3 linked regions of the Tamandua tetradactyla genome follow. The main gene of each other region encodes a partner of the protein of the gene in region 2 in a complex. Links are inferred from orthologs where the notes say so. Each region holds a gene or a part of one and is shown on either strand. Other genes may lie near its edges. The genes, in order: KLHL42, CUL3 and KLHL12.

Evidence for each region.
Region 1: CUL3 (region 2) and KLHL42 share a complex: the UniProt entries of both Homo sapiens proteins name them as parts of the BCR(KLHL42) E3 ubiquitin ligase complex. The link is inferred for Tamandua tetradactyla from reciprocal best matches to the Homo sapiens genes CUL3 and KLHL42.
Region 3: CUL3 (region 2) and KLHL12 share a complex: the UniProt entries of both Homo sapiens proteins name them as parts of the BCR(KLHL12) E3 ubiquitin ligase complex. The link is inferred for Tamandua tetradactyla from reciprocal best matches to the Homo sapiens genes CUL3 and KLHL12.

The regions. Positions count from the first base shown.
Region 1 is NC_135333.1:90,931,295-90,941,508, reverse strand, and holds the start of KLHL42 (kelch-like protein 42), read right to left. Parts: upstream 6,368-10,214; 5' UTR 5,884-6,367; coding exon 5,012-5,883; intron 1-5,011. UniProt on the Homo sapiens protein: Substrate-specific adapter of a BCR (BTB-CUL3-RBX1) E3 ubiquitin-protein ligase complex required for mitotic progression and cytokinesis. The BCR(KLHL42) E3 ubiquitin ligase complex mediates the ubiquitination and subsequent degradation of KATNA1.
Region 2 is NC_135329.1:200,349,260-200,359,473, forward strand, and holds the start of CUL3 (cullin-3), read right to left. Parts: upstream 4,957-10,214; 5' UTR 4,840-4,956; coding exon 4,774-4,839; intron 2,499-4,773; exon of another isoform or gene 2,484-2,498; coding exon of another isoform or gene 2,439-2,483; intron 1-2,438. UniProt on the Homo sapiens protein: Core component of multiple cullin-RING-based BCR (BTB-CUL3-RBX1) E3 ubiquitin-protein ligase complexes which mediate the ubiquitination and subsequent proteasomal degradation of target proteins.
Region 3 is NC_135330.1:60,145,821-60,156,034, forward strand, and holds the start of KLHL12 (kelch-like protein 12), read right to left. Parts: upstream 6,517-10,214; 5' UTR 6,446-6,516; coding exon 6,377-6,445; intron 6,038-6,376; exon of another isoform or gene 5,894-6,037; intron 4,450-5,893; exon of another isoform or gene 4,268-4,449; intron 1-4,267. Other genes in the region: ADIPOR1 (adiponectin receptor protein 1), read right to left, coding at 9,022-9,150, 9,485-9,678. UniProt on the Homo sapiens protein: Substrate-specific adapter of a BCR (BTB-CUL3-RBX1) E3 ubiquitin ligase complex that acts as a negative regulator of Wnt signaling pathway and ER-Golgi transport.

The sequences.
Region 1 (10,214 bases), on a different chromosome or scaffold from region 2:
GAAGGGTAACAAATAATGTATCAGTAGCTGAGGGAGTTCAAATAGAGCTGAGAGGCTACTCTGGAGGTCACTCTCATGCAAACTTCAGTTAGACATTGCTACCTATCATGACTTGCCAAACTCCAACCAAAACCATTCGTGCCAATCCTAACGAATACCAAGGGCATTATATAAAATTCTACAAAGATCCCACATGCTAGGGTAACTATCCAAAATCTATCTCCTCCAGATGGTTCCCTGGACCAGGTAAGTCCTGAAATGCAGTGGGCCCAGCCTCTTCAGAACATCTGCTAGTTTTATCCCCCTATCCCGTATTATCGACAGCCCCTTCCAACACAGAAAAGTTAGAATGGGCATAGCCCAAATACCCCTAAAGAGTGAGAGAAAGATAAAAGTTGATATTGAAGTTATACAGAGAAGGTAGGTTTTAACAAATGACTATGATTGCTGAATCATTATATTGATATTTCTTTTAGTCTCCAGTACCTTAGGGCAGCTAGAAAGAAAAACCTAAAATTGTGGAATTGTAACCCATACCAAACTCTGAAGGCTGTTCTAAAACTAATTGTTGCGATGTACTTTGAAATTTATTGCTTTTATGTATATATGTTATTTAAAGAGAAGGAAGAGTATCACAGAGAAGAAAGGATTAACAAATGGGTGTGACTGCTGAATCATTACATTGATATTTCTGTTGGTCTCCAGTGTCATGGAGCATCTGAAACAAAAACAAAAGATCATGGAACGATAACCCATATTAAACTTTAAAATCTGTTCTATAATAACTTGTTAAAATGTACTTGGAAATTTGTTGCTTTTTTTGTATACATGTTGTATTTTACAATTAAAAAAAAAGTTTAAAGAAAAAAGTTCAAGGAGAGATAGAGAGAGCTCAGGTCAAAGCTGACACAGAGAACAGAGAGATGAACCCAAGATACAGATGTTTGGAGATGCTCTGAGACAGACAGAGGCTCGGAGAGGCCACTGGAACCAGGAACTGAAACCCAAGAAACCCAGGAACAGAGGGTCAGCAGACGTCACCATGTGCCTTCCCACGTGACAGGGAAGCCCTGGACACAATCGGCCTTTCTTGAGTGAAGGTATCCTCTTGCTGGTGCCTTAATTTGGACATTTTCATGGCCTCAGAAGTGTAACTTGTAACTTAATAAATCCCTTTGATAAAAGCCAATCCATTTCTGGCATACTGCATTCCAGCAACTTTAACAAACCAAATCAACAGGCACACCTCAGACATATTGCAGATTTGGTTTCAGATTATGACAATGAAGTGAATATCACGATAAAGTGAGTCGCATGAATTTTTTGGTTTCCCAGTAGATATAGAAGTTATATTCACACTATGCTGAAGTCTATTAAGTGTAGATACCTTTATTAGATTGTGACACGGAGACATCAAGTGAGCACATGCTGTGAAAAAAATGGTGTTACTAGATCTTCTCGACACAAGGTTACCACAAACTTTCAATCTATAAAAAACACAATATCTGTAAAGCACAATAAGGCCCAAAGCAACAAAATGACATACCCTGTAAATAAGTTCTTGTTAAGTCATAGTTCAGGACCGCAAGGGGGACAAACATGGAGAAAATTTCAATTCAAGGTGAGGAGTGGGCATGAGATGCTACAGGGGCACAAACTTGGAGCACTTAGCCCAGCAGAAAGTTCAGGAAGACCTGAGTCACAAAGATAAGAAAGTAAACCAAAAAATTCCAAAGACCTAATTACTCAAAAAAAAGATAATTTTCTAGCTACCAAATTTTATAAAAATGTGAATCCTCCCACAAATTAATCTGTAAATACAATATAATTCCAAACAAAATCCCAACAGGTCTTTTTAACAGAACTTGTTAAGCTGATTCTAAAATTTATCTGAAAGAGAAAATGTGCAAAAAATAGCAAACGGAATTAAAAGAACAAAAGAAAAAAAAAAAGAACAATTAGGTATTTCTTCTTGCTCTACCAGACAATAAATACACTACCAAGTGACAGTAATTTTTAAAAAAATTTATTGACGCAGAAATGGCTAATCTGCCAATTTGGAAACAGGAAAATTAGCATATGACACTGCTTTTGCAAATTGCCTTCAGAAGAATCAGAGCTATTAAGACAGAAAAAATGTTATAACTGTCCATTGTACCTTATATGAAAATAAACCCCTATAGTTAGGGATCTATTCAAGATCTAAATGTAAAAAAGGAAAACTATGAAGTATAGGGACATGATACAGGTGAGGACTTTCACGCCCTTGCCCTGGAAAAGCCCCCCAATGCAAGATACTATGCTCACAGGACACACATCACAATGTTGACTATGAAACATTTTTTTAATTTCTTTATCCAAGAATACACAACAAAACTTAAGTTCAAAACCAGAAAGCCTACGAGGCCAGTTCTGGGCTGTACTCTGATTCACAAAGTGTTATGTTTCTGTTTTTGTTTTGATGTCACATACAAAAGCAGATGTGGCAATACCATCAAATTCCTACTTCCATTTGGCACTCGCTGGTGGTCTCTTTGGATGGGGTAGTAGCTCTCTCTTTCACCATCACTCCCACCCACATGTCCTTTCACTGACTTTTCCTATGAGGTCACTTCAGGCATTTTAGTTTTGAACCGTACCATAAAATAAAGACAGAAGAAAAATATGTGCAATATTACATAATACAAAAGATTAATACCTGCATTCGCAAATGAATACGAAAAAGATAAGCCAATTTTTTTTAAGTTGATACAGGTAATTTACAAAAGAAATGCAGATGGCCAATAAACATATGAAAAAAAAGTGTCTATTCTAATCAGGGAAAGATGAGTGCTTTTGCTCATAAAATTGGCAAAAAATTTCTAAAAAAATGATAATATCTTGTCTTGGCAAGAGTACAGGGAACTGGCAAGCTCAAACAACGTTGGTGGGAGGGGAAATTAGAACAATTATTTAATGGGCAATCTGGCAGTAGCTTACCAAGATTTTAAATGTGCATACATTTTGTCCCACCTAACCAGGGATTCGAGGAATTTGCCATATGTAACCAGCTCACATATGTCTATTAAAATGCACACATACATACCGGGATGTTTAATATAGCATTGCTTATAATGGCAAATGGAAGCGACAAGGGAATAGCTAAACACATTAAGGTATATCCATAGGCTTGAATACTATACAGCCATTAAAAAGTATGAGATCTATCTACATTCGTCGACATAGAAAAATCTTTCAGATACACTATATAAGTGGAAATATCAAGTGCCATAATAATGAGAATTAATTTTAGAGTAAAAACTATGGAGAAGGTATATACACACCACCCAAGTATCCATGTATATACACATACATTTCCCCATTGTTAACCACAATGAGCATACTTATAATCTATTTATATAAACATATATTTACAGCTTTTGAATATATTTTAAAAATATACCAAATGTCTATAAATGCACTTATACTTTTTACTCTATAGTTTTCTATCTCATTTTCATTTTTCCAAAAAGCATATATGCATGCATTATTTGATTTTTTTTGTTCTTTTTTAAAGACAGACAGGTCATTCCTGGGGAGGGGGGATAAAAGACTACTATAGATTTGTAAAGATTAAAAAAAAAAAAAGAAATGAACTCTGTATGGTGTTGTTAGAATTGTGGAGCTGGGGATGGCATGCTGAGAACCAACTGATTCAACTGAAAAGTTAGAGAGAACAGAGAAGCTACTGAGCCTTCCACCCTAATTGGAATTTCTGTTTAAAAATAATATTTCTGATATCAAAATTTAAATATGTTATCACCTCAATGCTGTAAAAAAATGCATTTAAAAAGGATTGGGAGTACATATGCCAACTGTAGATAGCTATTACCTCTAGGAGGAGGAAGTAGGAGTGACAGTCTTTCTACTTCTTCATTCATTTCCATTTTTCCATAATAATTTCTATTATGATCAGAAAAAAGGAGGACTTTGCAAAATGAATTTTATATTATAGTAGGAATAAAGCCAGTCCTCCTCATTCCTGCTAAGACTTTCTTGGCCTGCCTATGAGGTCACTGAGCTCCATGCTTCAAACTTCAGGGTAGGGACAATGATGGACTTGAGATGGAAACACGTGGACCAAAAGAAAGGGTATTCCTATCCTTGCTTGGGTTGCATTGCTTCTTCTCCCACTTCTGAATGGCTGAGCCATCCTGGGCTCTACCAGCTCTCTTTCCTACCATCTTTTCCTTTATCTGCTCTTTGTGCTCATTGTTTCTGTTCTTTTGCTGGTCCTTCCCTGCTTTTACTCCCCTCAAGCTCCTCCTCTTCTTTTTCTCTCTTCAAGTCACCATGTTCATGGTGGAAGGACATGCAGGATGGGAAAAGAGGAGGTTGGGGTGGATAGAAACATTCCAATATTGTATGTAGGTGGCTCCTGCAAGGCTCAAGCTTTGAGTCAATGGCAATGGCTGCCTGAGAGGAAGAAGCAAAAGAGAGGATAAAAAATAATAAAAGGAAAGCCCAAATAATTAATATGTATAAAACTCTAATGATTATCTGTCTCCTGACCTTGGATTGGTGCTCCAGTGTAGGACTTCAAACCACTGACTGCGAAAAATAAAAAATCCCCCATATCAAGATTAATGGCTACTGCCTAGTGTGTCATTATAATGAGAATTAGATCCTAAAAAGTAAAACAAAAAACAAAAAAAAAAGCAGTTGCCTTAGAAAGTATACTCTAGGAAACCACATCATTTTTTTTCCCTAGAATAGAGGCAAAGAAGGCCGTTCTGCCTAAAGGCGCAACACCTACAAGGAAACTTATTGAGCTGGCTGACCCCATTGGAGCCTCTTCTTGTAAGTTCTGAATTCACTGGGAATTTTGCCAGTATCGAGGCCAGCAACACTCCTGAAGATGTCATTTCTACCTCAGCACAGCCTCCGGTGACTGTTCTGTAAACACTAGCGGAGTGCGTTATTGAACACATGAATGAGTGGCAAAGCAGCAGCACTGCACTGGGGCGCTTACCTCTTCTGATTCATGGAGGCCACCTGGAGCCACTCATTGGTGCTGGGGTTGTAGGAGTGCGCGGCAGAGATCTCCTGGCTGGTGATCCTGTACCCGCCCACTATAAAGAGGTAGTTGTCCAGAATGGCCGACCCGTAACCCCTGACATTCACCAGGTCGGGAGGCAGGTTGTTGGCCAGCGGGAACCAACGTTCAGTCATCTCCTCGTACCTGAGCATGGACGGGGGCTCCCCCTGGTAGGGGTGCGGGGCCAGGGGTCCCCCCAAGAAGTCTCCCAGGGCCACGAGGACCGCAGTCCCAGTCATCCGGGCCTCCCTCAGCCTTTGCTTCAGACTGACGTCCCCTGGGGCTTGGGGAGGAGCCCCCAGGAGGTGAAACTGGGGCTTGCACAGCACCTCGTGGAAGTGGACGACCATGAAGCGCAGACAGGCCTCCTGCAGGTCAGGCAGCCCGTACACCTGCGCCAGGCGATACATCTCCAAGCAGTTGTTGAGCCGCACCTGGGACAGAAGCAGCTGCAGCAGGGACGTGACCTGCAGGAAGGAGGCCGCTTCCACCAGCTCCGACAGCAGGCTCACCTCGTCCATCTCCTCCTCCTCCTCCACCCCGCCGCCTTTCTCCCCCCGCGGGCTCAGGAGCCAGCCTTCGCGGGCGCCGCCGGCGTTGATGAAGTCCAGCACCAGCCGCAGGCCTGGGGCGCTGAGGCCGCGCAACTGCTGCACCTCGGGGCCGCCGGCCTCCTGGCTCAGGGCCTCGCGCATGCCGGAGCGGTACAGGGCGCGGAAGTAGTCGCTCTGCTCGATGAGCTTCCTCTTGCTCACCGGGTAGCAGCGGTCCTCCAGGCGGATCTGCACCATTTCCTCCGCCGACATGACTGGGGGGCTGCGGGCTGACTGGGTTCCCGCCAGATCTGCGCGCTGTCTTCCCCGCCCCCGCGCGCTCTCCGGGTTCCGGGTTGGGCTCACCGAGGGATGGGGTCCGGGAGGAGGAGGCAGGCGAAGGGCCGCCCGCTCCCGCGTTCGCCCGGCCTATTTGGGTCTCGGCGGAGCCTCCGAAGCAGCCCCTCCTCCTGTCCCGATGGCTGCGGCTCGGCCCTTCTCGTCTCCCTCCACGCCAAAAAAGGCCCAGCTCGCGCGCGCCGACGTCGGGAGGCGGCCGCGGTGCCTGCTTGGACTCTCCCGACAGCGTCAGTCGGGGAGGGTATCCCAACCCCCAGCCTGCAGCCTCCTCCCACGCCTCCCTTCTCACTTCCGCCCGCAGGACCCCTGCATCCCGCTAGACCTGCGAACTGGATCCGGCTTTCGGCGAGAGCTGGAAGGCTGCAGGCCTCGCCCGCCCGGAATGCCGACGCGCGGGCGGCGGGAGCAGGTCGGACGCGCGTCCCCGCAGCTTCCCGGCCCGCCCGGTGCGCACCAGTTGGGTGGGAAAGGAGGGAGATGAACCCACTTTGTGTTTTCTTTCGCTCTGCTTCGGAGGGGAAAAAAGAAACGGGCGTGGAAGAGAACGGATGAAGGCAAAGGCAGTCTGGGGTCCAGAGAACGAAAAACATCAAAGCTGGGGCCGCTCATCTGGGCCAGCCCAGCGCCGTGTTCTAGAGGGCGGAGGTACACCCGCAGTCTCTGGACACGTCATGACACCCAGTTGATTCCTCGGTGTGGTCATCGTATAGGAACCATCTTGCAGAAGGCCCGGGCAGATGGCAGCAGGTTCTGCAGGGCTCAGCGCGCCCGGTGCACTGGGTTGGAAAGTTGTCTTTGCTGCTGGGACCCCCCTCTTACCTTCATGCTGTTAGAAGACAAACTGAAGTATAATTCAAGTAAATAAAGTTAGATTACACTTCCTTTTTTTCTTTTATCATATATTATTTTCCAACAAATACCTTTCTAACAACCATTGCTTTTCCTACTTCGATTTATCCGGATTAGCCATTACAAATATTATCTTTAGGCATCAAGTCTGGTGGCTTTTGCTCACACTCCCCCTCCCCCAGCAATCTGAGGAGTATTTGAAGAGAGACCATCTTGTCTTTTCTCACTGAGCATCGCAAATGTAAAGCTCATCCCATTAATAGGAAGGGCCCTTGTATTGCTCATGAAATGCGAATTAATCCCACAAAAGGTGGCGGAGGGGGGATGGGGGAAGAATGGAAATTACTAAATTACCTTTGGGTAGGAAGGGTAATGCTTGAAAGGGAGCACCAGGGGTGTGGTCACTCTTCTCTTAAAAAAAACTCTTGGAAACGTCCCCCAAACCAAGATTTGAGGGCCAACTAGTATAGTTCTTAACGTGCGAGGCATTTGGGTTTGGATTTTTTTTTTTCCTTTTTAGTTACCGTACTTCAGCTTTCTTCTTGAATAACAAACTATTAAATAATAACTTCCTCATAAATATATTTCTCCTAGTCCAAACAGAATATACATCCAATAATACAAATTAACATTTCATGTTAGGAAGGGGGTAATTCACCAGGAGGTAACATTCACTCCTCAGTGGTTTACTAATGGATTTTTTTCCTCACGTTAGAATGAGTATCAGGTTAGGTGAGTGCCTATGATTTCACTTTTTCTTTCTCGAGTTCTTAAATTATGCTTTTCACTTCCACAATTATGGAACGCGATTATCAGAAGGAATCAACAAATGGCTTCAAATCGTTAGTGTGAACAAGCAAAACTAGATCTAAGTATAACGCCATTTTTCCTTAACATAACGTCCCTTGCATCACATATTCTGATGATATTGTCTGCCGTTAATTTTTTTTAATCATCTGTATTTTGGCAGAATCATCAAGCTAGGAAGAAGCTTAAATGCCATCCAATCTAGTCCCTCGTTTTACAGCACTAATGGGACCTGCCTGAGTCACAGAGCTAGTAAGTAGGCAGTACCTATCCTTGAACCCCCATTTTACCATTAGGTCCACAGCCAGCCACATAATTAACTGTATGGTCAGGGCACAGAAAAGTCTGGCCTGACAGAACTGTATCCTACATTAATAAATTATTAATTTTATTTTGTTAGGTGTAATAATTTCACAATATTATACATTTAAAACTTTTTTTACACTCATGAGTATTATAAGTGAAATAATTTCTGCGACTTGCTTTAAAATAAGGAAAAAAGTAGGGAGAAAGAAACAATCAACAAAATGTCAATAATTATTAAGCTGGGTGATAGGTTCATGAGCCATCATTATACTATTCTCTCACACATGTTTGTGTGTATATATAAAATTTTTAAAGTTTTAAAAAATCTTAGATTAATTTTCCAAAGGGTTTCCCCACCCCATCCCAATAATATATATATTTTTGTATTTTTTAAGTTACTAGCTTCTGCTTTCTTCTTGGATGACAAGTCGTTAAATAACATTCTTTTCATAAATAAATGTCCCCTATTTCAAGCAGACCATACATCCTCCAATGATTATTTACATTTTATGTTAGGAAGAGGGAAGGGTAAAAAAAAAAAAATTGAGAGAGAAAGAAAAGAAAATTCTATCAGTAAGACATGAAATCCTTTCAACACAATTTGGTCACATTTATGCTTCTTTTTGTGTAATTTAGCTACTTCGTAGTGAAGTTTGATCACCCATTATTTTCTTTATAGCATCATGAATAAGGAACTGAAATTTAAAAACAAAACAAAACAGAAAAATTCTGGCAGATTATGGCCTCCATAGGAAAAGGAAGAAAAAAGATGGGTCTATGACTTGCACCATTGAGTTATTTTCTTGGATGCCAGCTCTTCACCTTGTTTTACCTGTATTTTAAGTCACTGCTGATAAAACACCACTCTCTCACCTACCTCTCATGCTTCTTCTCTCAATGAGCATGCAGTCGAGACATTCTAAGGTACTTTGGGAATGAGTGCCCATGCATTTAGCAAATCAAGGGCCAGGTGCAGAATTGGGCAGTAGGCTTGGGAACTTTTGCTGGGAGGCGCCCCCTCTATGGAAGAGACTTGGACCTGGGATTTATTTGTGCCTTATTTAGCGACAAAGACAGATTCAGTGGGTCAGCCAAGAACAGAGTCTCAGTCTCTCCATTGTCCCTTTAGAATCTTTCACCAATGAATGCTTTTGTTTCCCAACCAACATAGATACGCCTCAGGCTGGTGTTCTCTTGCCTTTTTAGACCAGACCAAAAAATTCACACTCAAAAAAGGATCTGTATTAAAAAGGCAGTTCAAGCATGGTAATATCGCTGGGGCAAGATCAGCTTGGGCAGGGAATCTGGTTATTAGTCTGATAATACTAATCCCACAAGTTTTTTGGTCCCCATCATGATAATAATGTAATTCAGCACCTGGAGCATCTTAAAAGATCATATCACTTTAATAATTCACGCATTAAGTTTTCCGTTAAGCTAGAAATGCAAAATCGAAGCAATATAAACTCCTTATTCACAAATGACCTAAAATATTACTTTTAGGCTTCATAGAAATAGTTTGTATATCTAACTGGAAGAATAGTTTTATAGATCTGTTATTGATAAAGATTAGTCTTTGTCGTGCTACGATTCACTTCAGTCAATCACTTTGCACTGCTAACTGTTTTACAAAAGACTAAAGTAATGATCATATATAGAGTTAGGCTATTTCTTTAAGAAATTATGGAAAATATACCTTTTGACCTAGCAGGCAGAAAATATGTAAGTAAAGGATATTTGTCACAGTATTGCTTTTAACAATGAAATATTGGGGAAAAAAAGTATAATAATAGTAACTAACACTTATTGTTTATTATGTGCTGGGCCTTTTGTAAATGTTTTACCTGAGTTATAATGCCGTCTTTACACTATGTTACAGCTGAAGAAACTGAGGTGCTAAGTAAACTGTAGTAGGTTAGTAGGTATGTGCAATGAAATGCCAGAGAGCCATTACAAATTTTAATGTAGCACTTTCTTTAGAGAAATTGAAAGATGAAATTTACACTGCATCTTTTGAAAACAGGTTCAGGAACAGCAAACATGGTATGATTCCATTTATGTAAAATTGAATACATATATCTATTTTTCATCGTGCTACCTAAAAGGATGTTTATCAAAATGTTAAGATTATAAAATATTGAATAGTTTTTAAATTTTTTGTACTTTTGTATATTGTTTGGATTTTTTGGTGAATATATATCAATTTAATAAAAGCAAAAATTTTTAAAGAAAAATTAACATTTAAAATTTCAGGCCTCATTTTTTAAACAGTTTCCCCTAAT
Region 2 (10,214 bases):
AACAAACGAAGCTTTCTCTCTTTTACTTGAAGGACTCAAACTTGTGACCAATGTGCAAAAATGCCAAATTTTCACATAATATTTACTACCAAAATAGTTTAAAATTAATATTGGTACTAATAATTTTCCAGTCTCCCCTAAAATGCTATCTAGAAAGACAATGCAAAATAAACACTTTATAGATGGTTCCTAGTCCAGATAAACCCAGAAACCCTGAGTTACCAAGTCTCTCCAAAAACATCAGCCACTTACATGTCCCTACCTCTTAACGTTGACATCCCTTTTCAACATTTAGTATTTAGAATAGTCATTGCCCAAATATCCCTAAAGATTAGGAGAAGGATCAAAGGAGCAGGAATCATAATAGAAAAGATTTGACAAATGACATGACTACTAAAAATCATTATATTAACATTTCTTTTTAGTCTTAGAGCAGCTAAAAGGAAATAAACCCATACCACACACTTAAATTTTTTCTATAAAAACTACCTGTTAAAATGTACTCTGAAATTTACTGCTTTTTTATAGATTACATTTCACAACTAAAAAAGTAAAAAACAATAATAATAATAATGGGAGGCATAGGACCTTCTAATTGTTATTGGAAGAGCACAAAGTTTTCCTTATTGAATGTTCACAGGAAACAAAATTAGCGGAAAAAATACTTTATAGATAACTAATTTACACTCCTTGAATTTCCCAACTTCTAAAGTCAGAGAAACAGCTACAACACAGCCTACTCTCCCAGAACTATTAAACAAGAAAATCATTAACACTTCAATGCATGTTATATCTTATTCCAAAATTTCCCTCTAAGTAAGTATACAGAGAATGAAAAACAAATTTATAGCTAATTCTATTACTCAGCTCTCCTACCTATATAGTTCAGATAGTTCTAGGTAAAATTTCTCTTCCCTGAGAAAGAGAAACCTATTATGAAGATTAAAGCTGTTTCCCAAAATCTGGGAAATATCACTATAGTTAGAAAAACAAAACAAAATAATTCACTATCCCCATTTTATTCTTAGACTTTTCTTCCTTTTATCTTAAATCTCATTCATTGGGTGGTACACCAGTAGCTCAGTGGCAGAATTCTCTCCTGCTCTGCTGAGACCGGGTTCGATTCCCGGAGCTTACCCATGCCAAAAAAAATATGAAAAAGAAAAAAGAAACTCATTTATTTCATTAATATCAATCCTCTGTGGGTTCCACCAAACAAAACCACATCATTCACTGTCCATACTCAAAGACTACTCCTTATAGAGCTCTTCTAGAATTATGCGGTGATTTCACAAAAGGAGATCTTTTCTTATCATGATTTAGCACACTTTTATTAACTAGTACTTGAAGTCATTTCCAGGGTCTCAAGATAAAGGTCTTAAGAGCCTGATCACCTTCACTCATTTTCCTAATGTCTTCTGAAGTCTGAAGACTGAACTAAGAATGACAAAACCACAGTGGACAGCTTTTTCATTCAAACATTTTCGTTCTGATAGCAAAAAACTTTCATACCTTTGTGGACCCAAACTCTAACAGTACAGATGGGCGAGGTATGGCTTTTCAAAGATAGGGACAAAATGTTCATCCTACAGTAACCAACCAGACATAGTGAAAGAAAGACTCAGGAGTAAGACACATGCAGGCAGCAAGGAAAAGAGTAGGGATTTCTTGGGGCAGCATTATTTGGTTCAAACCCATATGACTTTTTACAACTATAGCCTGCTGCTTCCTTATATGTTTTGTGGCCTTGCTCTGACTTTAGGTACCAAAAAAACATTTCTTAAAACATTAACACAAATGAAATGACAAATATTTTGTACACTTCAAGAAAGCTTACAAACCAGAATAAACTTATTGTCAGCAGTTTACAAATACATAAAGTTCCTTGTTGCTTTTCATCTTTAAGAGAACCAGTTTCTCCTGAAATCTTACGAAAAGGTCTACTTCAAAAGCAAATAGTGCATTAAATGGTGGTACGATAAAACTTTCACTCTTCAGCACAATCATAAAAGCACACTTTAAGTATGCACTCAAATCACTAAAAAGCACCTGACTTTACTAAGTAGGACTATACCTAGAGTCCACCCACACATCTATACAATATATTTGGTAAGTTCACTCACCACTCCATTTTGCAATGAAAAAAAACGTTCGCAAAATATATTTTCATAAATTCTGACACATCAATTTTGTAAAAACATCATTAGTGAGCACTTGAGACTTGAGGGTAAACTATAATTTCCTTTAACTTCTAAGAAACTATATGGCCACATGGTATACGTAAAACCCACTAGCTGTAAGTATACCACACAAACAATATTTTTTTCTTTAAGGAAGGCTATGCATTTACTACTTCTGACTAGTGACCCATGAAGACTGTAGTTAGGTAGTCAAGGTTGCTAACCTGGAAGAAAAAAAAAAGAATATAAGTACTCAACCACGAGAGGGTAAATCAGTTGAACAGCATTCACAGAAGCATGCATCTGTCCTTAATGAAGGCTCATGGAACTATGAATTAAAAAATAAATATTAAAAAACAATGATTCTTTTCAACAGGAGCTACTTCCAAATAGCTTACTTATAAAATAGTAATGAAAAAACTCCCGCTTTTAAAAATTAGATTTTTTTAACTACTAAATATCAAACCTTGCAAACTTTTATTAAAGGATTTTAGAAAAACAGGACAATAAAGTATAGACAGAAAGGGTCTAAATTAGCTCATAACCATACAGCACTGTAAATAACATTAAGTAGAATCTTAAAACATTCATAATTAAACCAATTCCAGTACTATTTGTGAACCTATCATCACAAATATTTGTCAGTTAAAGGATAAAGAAAATTCACTTCCATCGAAGCCCTGCAACAATACACGTTCCAGAAAGCAGAGATCTTGGTCTTCCAAGCTATACAGATTTACCCCAAGCCCCTAGAATAGCATGTGGTTCATATACTCAATAAACATTTGCTGAATGAAAAGAGGGGGAACAGGTAAAAGCAGGCAAATCTAGAGATCAAACAGTCGGTAAGTAGGTAAAGGTGAAAAGAGAAACAACTCTTTAATCAGTATAATATTATCGTAACAGGTGAGTTGATGTTAAATATGAGCTACTCCACATTTTAGCAACAAATCTCAACTAAAAGAGCTCAGACTTCAAGAAAGAGCAGTTTTAAGATAGTAAACACTTCCTAGAAAATGTGTTGTCCATTTAATTGACAAAAGTCTGAATAGTTCTAAACTCTGCTAAAAAAGGTCTTAGTAGGAAAACGTTACTCACAAATTCATAAATCCAGCTCTTTGCCCCATCACGAGAAAAACATGCCAGTTACATTTGTACTCTTACCAACATTTCTCATGTTCTAATGCAATTTCTCACATTTGCTTAGGGAATAAACTTTAAAAATTCAAAACCCGTTTAAACAGTATCAAAACATGTAATTCTCTAGAGTACATCCTACCTTTATTTACATAGTCTTAAATTTCTAAACAATGACATTTCAGATTTCTGCACCAGTGTATTTTCTTTTTCTCCGGGACTGTTACTCATTCAACTACGACAATTATATTAAGTTTTTTCTCTCTGCAAACAGTGTACTTTAGAAAAAGCACGCTTAAAAAAAAAGTACAAATGTCCTTCCTTTCTCGCTCACCTGATGTACGTTTATGCTTTTAAGAAAGGAAAATCAAGATCTTTCTCTAGTTTGACTTTTTAAAATTAATCCTAGTTCAACTGCTACTTTGTCTATCCTGTCGTATGCCTGTTACCGTAGCGACAAGAGCAAGTATGTCCAGTTTCTGTTACAGCAGCGCATTTTAATTGCTTGCCATTGGCTATCTGAATCAGATAGGAAATCAAAAGTTATACCCTATCTAACCAAACGCCGCAAGCGTTTGACTCAACGCGATACATAAAAACAAAGTTTCTAAACATAATACATCTGCTGTCACTAAAACCGATAGAGTAATGCAACTTAGGGCAACGACTATTCATTCGTTTGGACTTCCAAGGCTGGGAAATCGAGGACCAATTGTCCAATCTGTTCTCTCTTGCTTCCCCTAGTCCCTGGTGAGGCAATTTCTGCACGAGAGAAATTGTGAAGTGCTTTGGACGGTTATGGGAAGAAAGATGTGATAAATACACGGATTTATTAGCATATTACCATCAAGCATTACGTGGAACCACTGTCACTACATCGAGAGTAAGTTGATGGCCCATAACCCTTCCTAAGGAGGGAATAGAGTAGGAGATAAAGAAAAAGAGAGAGAAAGGATAGTCCCCTATCACCCTAAAGGCTTGGCCGTCTTTTAGGATGGGTTATTTCTTAAGACGCTGCAAATCACACGTGAAATTTTACACACACACCCCATACAAGGAGGACTACGATACTCCCCATCCCTGCTGGGCTGGAGTCCCAGGAAACGAGCGGGGAGAGGAGTGCCTGGGTTTGGGCCTACACCCCAGTAATGAGGGGAAGTGTTGGGACCAGCGAAGGGGCTCCGGCCGCAGCCGACGCCCGTCGACCGGCTGGCAGCGCAGCTACGGGGCGTGGGGCAGGGAGCCGGGCCTGGGCACGGGGAACGGCCCAGGAGAGCGGCCGCGCCGGGGCCCTGCGCCGCCCGGTTGCCTAGAAGGCTTGCGCCCCGCGGCCGGCGGGCGTGGGGGGAGGGGAGACCGGGCCTGCGGCCTGTTGGGGGACTTCAGCCCGGGCCTCGCGTGCGGCTTTCGGCCGGAGCTCCGGCCCCGGGGTCCCGGGCGCCGAGGAGGTACTCACCGGAAAGGCCCGGATACGCATCTTGGTGTCCTTCCGGCTGCCCGTGCCTTTGCTCAGATTCGACATGGTGCTCGTCCCCTCCCCGGCGGCGGCTTCAGGTCGCACTCCGAGCGCCGGTGTCACATTTAAGGCGGGCGGGCAGGCGAGGGGCGACGCTGGGGGCGGCGGCGGCACGGCCCCCGGACTGGGCTGGGGAAGCTGGCCGGCCCCTGGGCGGCCGCGGCGGCGGCGGCGGCTCGAGCTCCGACGGCTCGGGCTCGGCTAGGGGGCTGCGCTGGCGCGGCGGCTCCGCGGGGTGCCCCTCACGCCCGGCTCGGCTCCCTTTATCGCGCTCCTCCGCGATGGCGGCGGCGGCGGCGACGGACAAACATCTCACTGCGCAGGCCGAACGTCCTCCTCCTCCTCCTTCTCCTCCTCCGCCTCAGCGAGACGAGATCCGGCCCAGAGGGTGGAGGGGGGAGGAGGGAGGGAGGAGAGCCGGAGAGTGGAGAGATTGGGGGGAGGGGGGGACGGGAGGACGGGAGGGGTAGGCAGGCGGCCGCGGCGGGGACGCTCAGATCTCGCGAGAAAGGGGCGAGCGCGCTGCCCCAGGTGGGGCGGCACAGAGCCCGGGAGCGGGAGGGTGCAGCGAGAAGGGAGGAGGGGAACCGGGAGTTGCAGAAATGGGAGGGGCCGCTGGGGCGAGGAGCCGGGGAAAGAGGCGGGGCTGAGGGCGGAAGGAGTTAGCAGCCTTCTCCACAGGCGAGCGTCGGAACCAGGCTCTGGGCAGAGGTGGTTGCTGATTGGTGGGGCGCGGGGGTGTTCTGGTCACGTGGGCGAAGTGGGAGGGGGAAGTCCGGAGAGCGGGCGCGGCGGGGAAGTGGACAGCACGGGGTTTGGCTGGGTGGGCAAAGGCTAGTCTCGGGGAGGAGCGTGGGATGCTAGGTGCATAGCTACGTCCTAGAACTGGTTCCTGTGTTTTTCTAGGGCATGTGTACTAGGGATGGGTACCTGGGTAGAAGCCAGAAAGCCGAAAGAGTTTGTGCCAGAGTGTCCTGCAGTGTCGGAAATTAGGGTTCTGTATGCTTAACAGAGTATTCGTACAGGTTGTGCTCACCGAGCTCTCAGGACTTAGTGGTGAAGGTGTTAATCCGCAACATTTCCTTAAATTGAGGAAGCTCCCAGACTCTGAACTCACTGACATTTTCTGGGGACTAAGGGCTTATTGGTGTTAAAATCTGTTTTTCGTTTCCGTTGAAATACAGTAACTCCCTTAGAGTAGTGCCATAGTTTGGAAAATAGCATTAAATGGAAGATAAGAACCTACCTTTAACCTGTCAAAACATTTTTACCATTACCAAGAGCATTGTAGGTATTTAAAACCAAAATTATTGTCTTTAACTCAAGCTGCTGTAAAATTGAAAGGTTTTTTTTATCACTGTACTCAAAACACTTAGTTTTGACTTGTCCGTTTTGCCTTTTCATTCATTTTGAATTTTACTTCCTGATTTTACCTACTTGCTCAGTTATTGTTATATTTGGGTTTCAGGCTCTGCGGAGGGATGTGTGCATTCCTACTAAAGTATTTGATCTTCACAATTCTTGGAAGGGGCATCTACTTTGGAAAACCGGAGTTTTAATTGTTTTATAACAAAACCGATTAAGTAAACTCAAGTGTGCTTTTTTTAGTTGTTAATTTACGGTTGAATTTGCCCTAAGTTAACATAGTCCTGGTAACTACCTTGTGAGTATGCTTTCAGCCCCTACTTGGTTGACACGCCCCATTGGAAATGTATTTTCTTGTTTTTGATTTTTGCTATTAACCTATCAAAGCAGGAGCTTAAGAAATGAGGGTGTTGCTTGAGGCAATATCTGAATAAATACTGAAGCTAAAAATAGGTCATCAATAACTGGGACAATAAGGTAAGATTGGGAGGGGCTCTGGTTTAAATATCAGATAATATAAATCTTGGATAGGAGTTTATAATCTGTGTGCTAATTGAGCCATCATTTCCATGATCATTAGAATATGAAAACAGCCAGTGCTTTCCTACTGGTGTACTGTCATGTGGCCCAGTTTCTTTGTAATATTGCTTTGAATCCCAGCCTTGCCATTTTACTGGCTGTGTTATGTGTATTTTGGGACAAGAACTTGTGCCTAGAGTTCCTCATCTGTAAAACTGAAATAATAATAATACCTCCTGTTTGGGCTGTTAGCAACTTTAAATGACTTAATACATTTTTAAAAGCCCTGAGAGCAGTGCTCATCAGCTACCCTCTTGGTATCTTGCTTATACTCACAGATAATGGTTTATCTTCTTTTATTTAATATGTGGGTTTCTAAAAGGTACATGTATGTTTTTTTAAAATGTTCATATTTTAAAACTAAGCCAGGCTTCAAGACATAGACTTCACAAACTAGTAAAATATTTTTCAAAATATTAGGAAACGGATGTAGGATTAACAACTTTAATTTGATAATTATGGCATTAGAAAAGAAAAACTACCACAGATTATCCCATCAGTTTAGTAAAGAAAAAGCATTTTAACCACTGAAAGAAGGAAGGTCAATTTTTTAGTAAAGAGCTGTTCTTTACATTGATTAATTTAGCTTTATGAAAAGCAACACATTGTGCTGATTTTTCTTATTCCACTGTAAACCTGAGAAAACTTCATACTCCAGCATTGCATCAATTGTTTTGTGAACCCAGTTTTTCTTACCTTGCTTTTGCTTATGCAAAATTTAGCTGCACTTAAGAAGAATCTTTTCAGCTATGTCTTCTGTTAGGCTTTTAAGCACACACACACACACAAAACAGAAAAACTTCAAAATGAATTTGTCTGTCACTGCCATTAAGAAATCCACTACTCATTCATGTGTTCATTTATTCTTCCGTTCAATCAAGATATGTTTATCGAATGGCTACTGTATGTCAGGCACTAAGGTTAAATGACAAATGAGACCTGCCTTCACAGGACATATAGTCCTATTCACATTCTCAGGATTTGGAAACCACAAACCCATGAACCATTCAGCAATAGCTTTATGTACCCTACGGTCCAGAAGTCAGAAATGTCCTTTCTTAGGAACGCAGCATCCTTTAAATATGTATGACATAACCCCTAAAGTAGCAGTAGACTATTCTTTTATGCCCACTGATAGTCCCTGATTCACAAATAGCAAATGAACTTTCAGGATATTAGCTTTGCTATACAGTTACAGAGAAAGCAGGGCTGGAATAGGAACTCACTAGATCATGCATGCCTGCCAGTTGGAGTTGCTACTTATGCTGACTGTGTCCTGACGTGGGAAAATGGTAGCCCCATTTCCATTGATTTGTATGGAGCATGTGCATAGCAGTCAGGAAGGGGACCTGTGGGCCAGCTCTCTTTCTACACCCCAGTCTGTGAATAGATAGAATGGGCTCTGAAGAGCCTGTGAAAGGGAGTAGCTTCTACTTACTTAGCTGGAAGTTTTAGGTATCTGGGATACCACTGCACTTTAATCACTGTGTCAGACTGCTGATTTGATTATGCAGATATTAAAACAGCTGACACCAATTAAATTAGAAAGATCTGTTCGGTGTATTTGAATAAGGAAAGACTGTGTTAGGAAAAGATGCATGTTTTTCAAATTGGAAGGGAAAGATATAGATTATAAATATTATCATTTCCTTGAAAGCAAGAGCTATGTCTTCTACTTTTTTTTACCTTGTCTCCACCAGACAATTAATAAGCATTGCAGGCCGTTGGACGTGGCTTTGTATATATTTAAGGTAGATGTATGCTTACAAGCTTTGTAAGATAACATGTTAATGGGGAGAGAGTTCCCCATTAAGAACATAACCACAGATACTTTGACCGATTTATTTATTTATTTATTTGTTTGCATGGGCAGGGCAGGGAATCGAACGCAGGTCTTCAGTATGGCAGGCGAGAAGTCTGCCTGCTTAACCACCGTGGCCTGCCCAATCATAGATACTTTAAATACATGAAAACTGTACGCCTTCTCCATGTACCTTTTCTTCTTTGTCTTTACTGTTTTCCTTATATCATTGAGACAAGAAGCATGTGAAACATGAGCATATGAGACAAGCTGCATCCTGAACAAAAAGAAAAATCATAAATGACTAATTACATCATAAAAGCCCATCTCTTAATTTTTCTTCACACGGTCAGGCTAAAAAAAAAAATAATAATCTCCCTGGCAGCTCTGGAAAGTTTCTAGTTGGCCTGGACAGTGTTGTACTTTTACCCAGTAAATTAATATTTTGGCGATAAAAGTACCTACGTACAAAACTAACATAAAAAAAGGAAAAAATACTAACATAATTTAACAATATAAATTCTAAATTAAAAATTATAGGTATCACATCCATGTGATTTTATTTTGAAGCAAAAGAATTTCCTCCAGGGGGCAATTATGAATATGTATTGCTTTCATTTGTGATGAGTAAAATACATGTTGAAATTTATAACTCATGTCAGTCCTTGTGAAGTTAATTGTGGAGTTGACGTAAAGTGTATGTGTAAAGTGACGTATAGCTGTAAAAGTATATAGAACTAAATTTTACACTGGATTTGGAAATTGTAATGAATTCTAACTATGATAGTCAACAAATGTAATATATAGCATTATCTTTAAACTTATCCAATAAGCTATTTGTCTTCAGTTACAATGAACTGTATTCTTAGTTCTTAGAACTAAGTAAAAATCAAAATCTGCGTAAAGCAAAAGAGCCCCAGTAGAGAGAGAAGAAAAACCTTTAAGAAACTAAAAGATATAAACATTGTCAGGGCCTATTTCTAACCCATGATTAATATCATGCATTAATTGTTAATCCTTGTCTTAGTTTGCCAGAATTATTATTGCAAAGACCACATAATGGGTCGGCTTAAACAAGAGGAATTTATTGGTTCCCAGTTTTAAGGCCAGGCGAAGTCCAAAGTCCAGTGTCAGCAAGGCTTGCTGTAGTCCTGAAGACTGTGGCATTCTGGTGCTGGCTGCAGGCAATCCTTGGGATTCCTTGGCTGATATTTCTGCCACCTATCACCTGGTGGATGGATTCCCTCTGAATTCCACCTTCTTGCTCTTACCTACGGCTTTTTCTTTATAAGCCTTCCAGTGATCCATATTAAGACTAACTGTGCTTCAGTTGGCCATACCCTGACTGAAAATAACATCTTGGAAAGTCCCTACTAACAATGGGTTCATACCCATAGAGATGTGGATTAACAACGTGAGTTTGTTGGGGTAGATAATTTAACTTACCACAGACCCGTAAATTGATTTTAAATTTCTAAACGCTCAGTTCTTCAGTGGCTGATTATTGGGTAAAAGACTAATTGAATGGCTAGTTTTAACATCCAGTTATGAGACAGTGGATACCTCATTAAGCTGAAAAGCAGCAACTTTATAATCTAACCCATTCATAAACTTTTAAAGAACTTTCATTTATGAG
Region 3 (10,214 bases), on a different chromosome or scaffold from region 2:
TAACTTCCAGGATAACCTCTCGACTCTGTTTGGGATCTCTCAGTCATCGACACTTTGTCTCATTTCACTCTTCCCCCTTTCGGTCAAGAAGGTTTTCTCAATCCCCTGATGCTGAGTCTCAGCTCATTCCAGGATTTCTGTCCGAAGTTGCCAAGAAGGTCCACACCCCTGGGAGTCTTGTCCCATGTAGACAGGGGGAGGGTGGTGAGTTTGCTTGCTGTGTTGGCTGGAGAGAGAGGCCACATCTGAGCAACAAAAGAGGCTCTTTTGGGGGTGACTCTTAGGCCTAATTTTAAGTAGGCTTGACCCATTCTTTGCGGGGTTAAGTTTCATATGAACAAATTCCAAGACTGGGGGTTCAGCCTATAGCTTTAGTTGTCCACACTGCTTGTGAGAATATCAAGAATTCAACTTGGGGAGGTTGAATTTTCCCGTTCTCACCATTCCCCAAAGGGGACTTTGCAAATACTTTTCTACTCACTGATCAAATCACTCTGGGATTCATCAGGGCATCACTCTGGATAAACCAACAAAATCTCATATCCTACCCAAGGTTCCATGTACTTAAGTTGTCCAACCAACTATCTACATAAGTTATATTAGGAGATGTACTAGTGAAAATATAAATTTTGTACCAAATAAACATTTTTGCTTTAGTCTCACACATAAGGTAAAATTTTAAAATATTAATTACCATCTATTTCAGCACCCTACAGTAATGACATTCCTTTGTTCTTCCTCATGCAAAAATATTTTAAAAATTTATACATTTAGTCACTATCATTATATACTCTAGGTATTCCTAGCTTATACCATCTCAATCTTTATCGTGTTTCTTTGTGATTTCATTTATGCCCCCAGTCCTCCTCCCTCTGCCATTCACACATTCAGCCTCATTCAGTGTTTTAACATAATTGTATTACAGTTAGGTAGTACTATGCTGTCCATTGCTGAGTTTTCATATTCAGTCCTGTTGCACAATCTGTATTCCTTCAGCTCCAATTATCCAGTATCTTACCCTATTTCTCCCTCCTGATGGTCTCTGTTACCAATGAAATAGTCCAAGTTTATTCACTAATTTTAGTTTATATCAGTGAGACCATACAGTATTTGTCCTTTTGTTTCTGGCTAATCTCACTCAGCATAATGTTTAAGGGCCATCCATGTTGCTACATACTTCATAACTTTATTCTGTCTTACAGCTGCATAATATTCCATCGTATGTATATGCCACAGTTTGTTGTTATCCATCTGTTGATGGACATTTTGGCTGTTTCCATCTCTTGGTAATTGTAAATAATGCTGCTATAAACACTGGTGTGCAAATGTCCATTTGTGTCCTTGCCCTCATGTCCTTGAGTAGAGACAGCATATAGATGGGTCCTGTTTTTTAATTCATTCTGCCAGTCTATGTCTTTTGATTGGGGAGTTTAATCCATTAATATTTAGTGTTATTACTGCATGGGTAGTACTTTCTTCTACCATTTTGTCTTTTGGATTTTATATGTCATATCTAATTTTCCTTCTTTACCTTTACTGATAGTCTTCCTTTCTACATTCTTCTCCACACCTCTCTCTTCTGTCTTTTCGTATCTGTCTCTAGTGCTCCCTTTAGTATTACTTGCAGAGTTGGTCTCTTGGTCACAAATTCTCTCAGTGATTTTTCGTCTGAAAATATTTTAATTTCTCCCTCATTTTTGAAGGACAATTTTGCTGGATATAGAATTCTTGGTTGGCAGTTTTTCTCTTTCAATAATTTAAATATATCATCCCACTGTCTTCTTGACTCCATGGTTTCTGCTGAGAAATCTATGCAGTCTTATTGGGCTTCCCTTGTAGGTGATTGTTCTAGTTTGCTAGCTGCTGGAATGCAATGTACCAGAAACGGAGTGGCTTTTAACAAGGGGAATTTAATGAGTTGCTAGTTTACAGTTCTAAGGCCGAGAAAATGTCCCAATTACAACAGTCTATAGAAATGTCCAATCAAAGGCATCCAGGGAAAGATACCTTGGTTCAAGAAGGCTGATGATGTTCAGGGTTTCTCTCTCATCTGGAAAGGCACATGGTGAACACAGTCAGGGCTTCTCTCTTGGCTGGAAGGGCACATGGCAAATACGGCATCATCTGCTAGCTTTCTCTCCTGGCTTCCAGTTTCATGAAGCTCCCCGGGAGGCGTTTTCCTTCTTCACCTCCAAAGCCGCTGGCTGGTGGACTTCAGCTTCTTGTGGCTATGTCATTCTGCTCTGCTCTCTCTGAATCTCTCATTCTCCAAAATATTTCATCTTTTATAGGACTTCAGAACCTAATCAAGACCCACTCAAATGGGTGGAGACATGTCATCCCCTAATCCAGTTTAACAACCACTCTTGACTAAATCACATCATCCAGGGAGATAATCTCATTACTGTTTCAAACATACAGTATTGAATAGAGATTATTCTACCTTTATGAAATGGGATTTATATTAAAACATGGCTTTTCTTAGGGGGCATGCTTCCTTTCAAACCAGCACAGTGATGGATTACTTTTCTCTTGCTGCTTCCAAGATTCTCTCTTTCTCTTTGACCTCTGACACTCTGATTAGTAAATGTCTTGGAGTACATCTATTTGGATCTATTCTCTTTCGGGTATGCTGCACTTCTTGGATCTGTAATTTTAAGTCTTTCACAAGAGTTGGGAAATTTCAGTGATAATTTCCTCCATTAGTTTTTCTCCTCCTCCTCCTCCTTTTCCCTTCTCTTCTCCTCCTGGGACACCCACAACATGTATATTCATACATTTCATATCGTCCTTCAATTCCCGGAGTTCCTGCTCATATTTTCCCATTTTTCCCCTATATTTTCTTTTTCTTGCCGGATTTCAGATGTTCCATCCTCTAGCTCACGAATCCTATGTTCTGCCTCTCGAAATCTACCATTGTAGGTTTCCATTGTTTTTTTCATCTCTTCTACTGTGCCTTTCATTCCCATAAGTTCTGATTTGTTTTTTCACACTTTCGATTTCTTCTTTTTGTTCACTCCTTGCCTTCTTTATATCTCCCTCAATTCACTGATTTGGTTTTTGATGAGGTTTTCCATATCTGTTCATATATTCTGAATTGTTTCAGCTCCTGTATCTCATTTGGTTCCTTTGACTGGGCCATATCTTCAATTTTCCTAGTGTGATTTGTTATTTTTTTTTTGCTGGTGTCTAGGCATTTAATTACCTTAGTTATTTTATTCTGGAGATTGCTTTCACTTCTTTTACCTAGGATTTTCTTGGTGGATTTGTTGTCTATCTATTCTTTGACATCCAGTTCAGCTTTATCTGGACCTCTAGCTCAGGTTTTGTTTAACAGCGGAGAATTTTTCAGTTCTTGTTTTCTTGTTTCTTGCCCTGCTTGTACGGTGTCTTCCTCCCACACACACTTAGGAGGGTCTACTTAGTTATTATGGACCCCAGCTGGATTTTCCCAGACCAAACTGGCCTCCTAGCAGGAGGAAAGAGTCACCTGTGTCGGTTTTCCTTGAGGGTGAGACCCAGCAGGTTGAAAGACTTTTCTGTGAAGTCTCTGGGCTCTGTTTTTCTTATCCTGCCCAGTATGTGCTGCTTGTCTGCCTGCTGGTCCCACCAACATAAGATGATGCAGTACCTTTAACTTTGGCAGACTCTCCCTGCTGGGGGCATGGTGGAGACAGAGTAGAGGTTGTAGGCTGGTTTTAATGGCTTCAAATTACCAAGCCCTGGTGCCTGAATTCCTTGAGGGAGGGATTCCACCTGAGTTGGGCTTCACCCCTCTCCTGGGGAAGGCACAGGCTCCAGACAAGCCCTCAAACGAGCTTGTTTCTGCCTATGCCTGGAGCAGTTGCAGACTGAGAAGCCCTGCCACTGTATCCAAAGGCAGTCAGCCTTTGTAGAAACATAGCCACAAAAACCTGTTTCTGGGCAGGCCACAGTGGCTCAGCAGGTAACAGTGCTTGCCTGCCATGCCCGAGGACCCGGGTTCGATTCCCGGTGCCTGCCCATGAAGAAAAATAAATAAATAAATCCCCTTTCTTTTTCCATCAGCCCTGCCCCCTTGGTGCTGGGGCAAAAATGAGTGACCTCCACCTTGATCAGGTTCACCTGAGCTGGGAGCCTACTTTCAGTAGACAGAATTTGTTAATTAATGTCACAATTGGCGTTTGGCTGGGCTCAGCCCCTGCTGCTGGTTAAGTCTCTTTCCTTTCTCCTGTGGGAAGCAGCCTGTGGGGGAGGGGCGCCAGCTGCCACGGCTTGGGAAACTCACGATTCTGGGGAAGCTCGCAGCAGGTCCAGCTGGTCCAGACTGGGGTACGCTGTGTGTCTGGTCACTCACGTGGTCCCAGGAGCTGTTCTGTATTGTTTCTGGTTATTTAGTAGTTGTTCTGGAGGGCGAACTAAAATGCACACATTGCTAAGCCACCATCTTGGCCCTCCTCTGATTTCTTAATACTGAGTGTCCCTACCACCTGACAGTTATTGTCATCAATAGAAACTGTATATTTCCCACATATTTTCATAAGGTTGTTGTCTGAAATGATGAAATGATAAATTCTTTAAAAGTAATATTACAAACTTATACCCATCAGTAGATGATAAGTACTTAGTGAATGGGGATCCCATGTTATATATCTTTCTAGCCCAGCAGGCACAGAGTAACTGTTAGTTACTTGAATGTAAGAATAAACAAAGTGCGAGTTTAACCGAGAGCAAGAAAGGTCAAAGTCAGTGAATATCTTTTTCTAAAGAGGAATGTAAATAATGATTTATGACCTCCAAATATATCTGGGTCTCAAAATAAAATTCAAATGATGACCCAGAGCCTATATCATAAGGGAAACCATGCAAGCTGCCTATGGACTTTTACTTGATGAAGCAACAGAAGTCCTTCAAGAAAAGGATTTTCCTACTCTATGTTATTAGTAAACGTCCATCAACATTAACAAATCAATATTTATAGTAATTCTTCTTTACTCAGAGACCCTTATTTAGATTAAAAACCTATCTGAACACCACTAACTGCACTGCCGTAGCTTGTCACCTTCAGAGTTCATTTTATATGTTAATGAAATGAACTCAATAAATTACACATAAAAAATCAATTTAAGGAGTGCTTTCTTGTCAACAAGGTGTAATCATACTTAAGTTAGCCCCTCATTGCTATCACAAATTTTCATCTACTTCTGTCTACAGGTAGCATGTTATTTTGTAAGCACTGTAGATACTTGTAGAACAACTCTCTGCAATACTCATTTTACAGAAAAGGAAGTGATTTGTGGAAGCATATGATGTTTTTCAAAAAGATTTTCCTAAAATCAACTTAGGTTCAACTGTAGGGCTTAAGAAGGATTTGAACAAATGCCCATTTACTGTGAAGATTTTCTGGGTGGTTATCACAGGCTCAGCCTACAACTAGACTTAGAGTGTCAGTGTCAAAACTGACAGAAACGCTATTGCAGCAAGGTCTTCTTACTTGTCCTTCAAGTTGTCATCCAGCAAAGTCTCAGCCACAACCCTCACGCACAACTTTCTGAGTGACCGTTTCCAGAGCTTCCCTTAAGATGTGAATAGAGGGGTTCAACCATGGGAGATTGGGGACCCGGGGCAAATTTTGTTAGGAATAAAATCGAGGTAGGAGAAAAGGGAAGGGAAAAGAGCTCCCTTCTTCTGACACTAGCATTTTGGCTGGCACCACGAGGTGGAGGGACTAGAGGGGGCCGTGGGGCGCAGTAGAGAGGACGGATACAGCTGCTAAATGCCCCCAGCCTTCCTGCTCCCCAAGGCGTCCCTTCCATTCCTCCCCGGAGGGAGACGACGAAAGGGGGAAGGGCCATACTGGGAGCTAAAAGGTAAGAAGGAACGTGCTGACTGCCTCCAATTCCGTGCAACTCACCTCCACTCCCGAGCCCACCCAGCCGCGCCGGGCCCGTCCCCCGCCCGTGGGGGTGGGGTGGGGCGCGGGGCTAGCAGGCGGCTCAGGAGGGGCCGAACCGCCGCCGCCACCGCCGCCGCCCCAACCCGGAGGCTCTGGAGCGGTCACCGTGCTGGTCGCCGCTCTCTTCACCGCCGCCGCGCTACGTGATGACGTAACGCAGCTGGAAGATGGCCCCCTCCCTCCTCGGGGTCTGCGTCACGTGACCAGCCATTTCACGTGACCAGTTTCTACCCAGATGCCCAGCTTCGGTGCGTTTAGGGAGAGAGGAAACGAGAAAGGTGGCGCTGAATCGGGTCCGGCCCGCAGGGCGACGTACTGCTCTCCAGCTAGGTGATTGGCTGAGGCTGAGCCCCATCTCCCCACGGCTCACGAGGCAGAATAGATTTAGAGGATTCCAAGGATTTGTAAATTAAGGTTCTGATTCCAGGGAGTACGTATTACCTGCCAGCTATTTAGGAACCCTCTCCCATCGAGAAAACCCACAGAAGATTCCAATTTCTTTAGGTCCATTCTCCACAACGACCTTTTCGGGCAGACCTCCACTGTGGTGAGACACCTCTGAGCTCTGCGATTCACAAACCTTCACATTCTCTGCATCATAATGGGGCTACTCATCTCTCCTGAAGTGATTCTGCTTTGCTTCCTCTACCCCAAGACAATTAATTGGAAGGCATTTGTGGCCCCTAAAAGTAGGACACTATCAAGTTCCTACCTCATTTAAATACTAGATACAATGAGGTGCTCAATAAATATTTGTTATTTCTCAGATCCACGTCTCTGGCCTTATTGCTGAAACAATAAGCATACACTAGGCTTCAGCACATATTCCAGACCTCATTACTTCCTCACCTAGGAAGTGGATGGAGTTGTATCAGATGTGTTCCCAAACTTTCCTTCCAGTTATATACTGGTGGTTGCAAACTCAGAGATGACTCCAGAAACCAGGCAGATGACTCCTAAGAGTGAAGCAGGCTAGGTAGGGACAATGAACTACACAAGTCCTCTCTAGAGGACATAGCTGCTACTCAGCTTCAGTCGACTGTTCCCACTGTGCAAACAAAACATGTTTGTAGACAGTTGTGGCCTGCAAGTAACCAGTTTGTGACTTTTGCTAACAAAAGTTTTCTACTAAATATCAAATAGATATAAAACACTTGTATCTTTGAAATATTCAGTGCAATGAATACCCAGGTACCCATCATCTAGTTGGAAAAAGAATGTAAAGTTTACCATTGAAACATGGTGTGTCCCTCTCCTCCCACCCTGTGCCTTACCCTTCAGACATAACCATTATTCTGAATTAACATTCCCCTTTTTAAGATTTTACCATTTGCTTGTATCCTTAAACTATCTTTAGTTTTGCACATTTCTGAACTTTATATAAATGCAACCATATGTATTCATCTGTAAGTTGCTTTCCTCCACAAATTTACTTCTGAATTCAACCATTGCTTTCTCTGTAATTCATTTTCACTATTAGTGTTTCATTATGTGAACTTTAACGACATTTATTTTTCCATTTAACAGTTTTGGACATGGGCTGTTTGCAATATTTTGCTATTACAAGCAGCTGTAATGAACTTTTTGTTTATGAGCACAAGGCATATACTGATGCATATCTGCACAAAGCGGTGACACCAATGTGTACTTTTACCAGCAGCATTTGGTCTGCTCCACATCCTTGTGAATACTCAATATTTTAGGCCTTTTAATTTGTGCCAATTTGATTGTAGGGAAATGCAATATCATTGTGGTATTTTACATTTCTCTATCACCACTTGAGGTTGAGAAACTTCTTGTTCGTTGCCTAGTTGAATTATTTCTTTAAAAACATCACTTGCTCCCTGAGTTGTACAAACTTGAAGTGAATCCAACTTTATTACCCAAGAAGACTTTCCTTCAACACCCTATATTAGCTGAGAAGTAATTACTGTAGGCCTCACTTTATCTATGAGCAGAACTTGAGTATAATTCACAAAGACACAGAAAGGCATTGAATGACCCCTTATGAGACAGCCTAACCAAGGCAGTGTTAATAGAAACTAACTCTAAAATAATATATAGTACACCTTTGATAATTTTAGGAGATCCCAACATCTTTAAGAATCCTCTAATTATTTGATACCATTATAGAATATTAATTTTCCCAATAAAATGTCTTGCAATAGGTAGAGAAAAATAAGCTGCATTGAGGAGCAAATGCTAGGAATTCAGTTAGGCTTATTTCTTGGCCCACATATACCAGTCTGTCAGAGCTCATGATTCAAGTTTATGCCTCAGCAGAATCTGAAACTGTTATATGTCGTAGACCTCTGGAGTATGCAAATAGTTGAAACCTTGAAATGTTAAATCTTTGAATGCCAAGTATCTTCTGTACTTTTCTTTTATTATCGTCATAGTCTGTGCATCAAGATACATAGCAATGATAGCAGGTTTCTTTTTAAAGCTTAGTATTAAATATTAAATATCTTTTCCCATTTTAACTTTACATTACTCTGCCAAGAAAAAAAAAATTAAAACTCAAGTTATTTGAAGCCTGGACATACTTCCATGATTAGCCGGGCTATGTAAAAGTTGGTGGCTTTGATCTTGCTGCTGTATACTCAGATTCAGGCCCTAAAAAGATGGGACCAGGTTATAATTGTTTTTGAAAAGTCTGCTACAAAAATGGATGGCCTGTCATAAGCCAGGTTACAAAATAAGGATTGGGGTAAGGAAGGGACATTTTCTTTCAGAAACAGAATTTCTAAAGAGTCCCAGTTCATCATTTTTTCTCAAAATGGTCTGAGGAGGGAGTAAAATCTCAACATGAGCTTCAAAGTACTGTCTCTTTGAGGGAATGGTAGTTGCCTTACGGAGGGGGAGGGATAAATTGGACTATCCTCTTCCCCACCAACTAGGGGAAATGGAAATGGAAAGTTTATTGCCCAGTGAGTGTGAAAGTGGGCTGAAGCTTTGATGGTAAAGAATTCTCTAAGAGGTTTCTTCTAGAAACAGACAACTCAGACTCTTCCTCTCACTTCAGCAAAGAAGTTATTTTTAAAAGCACTTGGGAAGTTCCTATGCCACACCTCTGGTGGGAAGGCTCAGAGAAGGGAGTCATCAGTACAGCCACCTTCTAGGCCATAACGGAATTCCTGAAGATTGGAGACTCCATAGAAGTGTACAAAGGCAGCTGCCACCACCAGGACATGGAAAATCTGATGAGACTGGAACTGCAGGAATAAAAAAAAAGAAAAGCCTTTAGTATAATGGCAAAAAAGGAGAAGAAATTCTAGTGGGAGAAAACATCTGCCTCTTTCGGTTTCTTTAACAAAATTATTTTTTTACATCATAAAAGTGATATCTTTATTATAGAAAACTTTTAAAATAGTCCTGCTCAAAAGTACACCAAAATATTATTTTTTTACAGTTTTTTCTATGTGTATATACATATGTAATGCACAAACAGTGCAAGATTCCTAAGTCTATTACCACCTTTTTACTCAACCTTTAACTTTACTTTGGCCACTCACCATCATAGTCCCTACTGGAAGAGTCATTTCTTACCCATATGTCAAACTTTCCAGGAAAGAAGCGCTCAGGAATTCGAGCAGCATAAAGGCCAGCTCCAGTGATGTACATCACAGCCATGAGAAAGAACCAGCCCATCTGTCCCACTGTGGTGGCCTTGACAAAGCCCTCAGCGATAGTAAAGTGCATGGTGGGCACAACACCACTCAAGCCAAGTCCCAGGAACACTCCTGATCAAAGCAAACATAAAAACAATGAAAGAGCCACTGTGTGGAAGTCATTGTTATCTTACTCTAGATTCTAAAATGTTTATATTAATTAGCTATTTTTTGGTGAACAGTAAATAGTTAGGAAATTTAGCCAGATGGATAACAGCAGATATTTATTCCACAGCCCAAATGTCTAAGTGCTTATATAGCTATCTTTTAAGGAACACCAAGAACAAACACCTTAAGTTCTTCATTATTTGTTAAAGAGCCTAGGCAAGAATTATGTGAAACTCCTTCATGACTGACTCAGGTACAGAACTAGATTTCAAGGCTTCAGTTGGCTGAATAGATCACCTGGCTCCCAAGCCAAAGAAGAATAAGACACGTTTCCCATTAAAACTATAAGAAGCTGTACATAGCAGAGAAGCTTAGCCTACCTATAGTTATACCTAAGAATCGCCTTTGGAGGGCCTCTTTTGTGGCTCAGATGTGGCCTCTCTTTCTCTCTCTAAGCCCAACTCCGCAAGTGAAACCACTGCCCTCCCCCCTATTCGGGA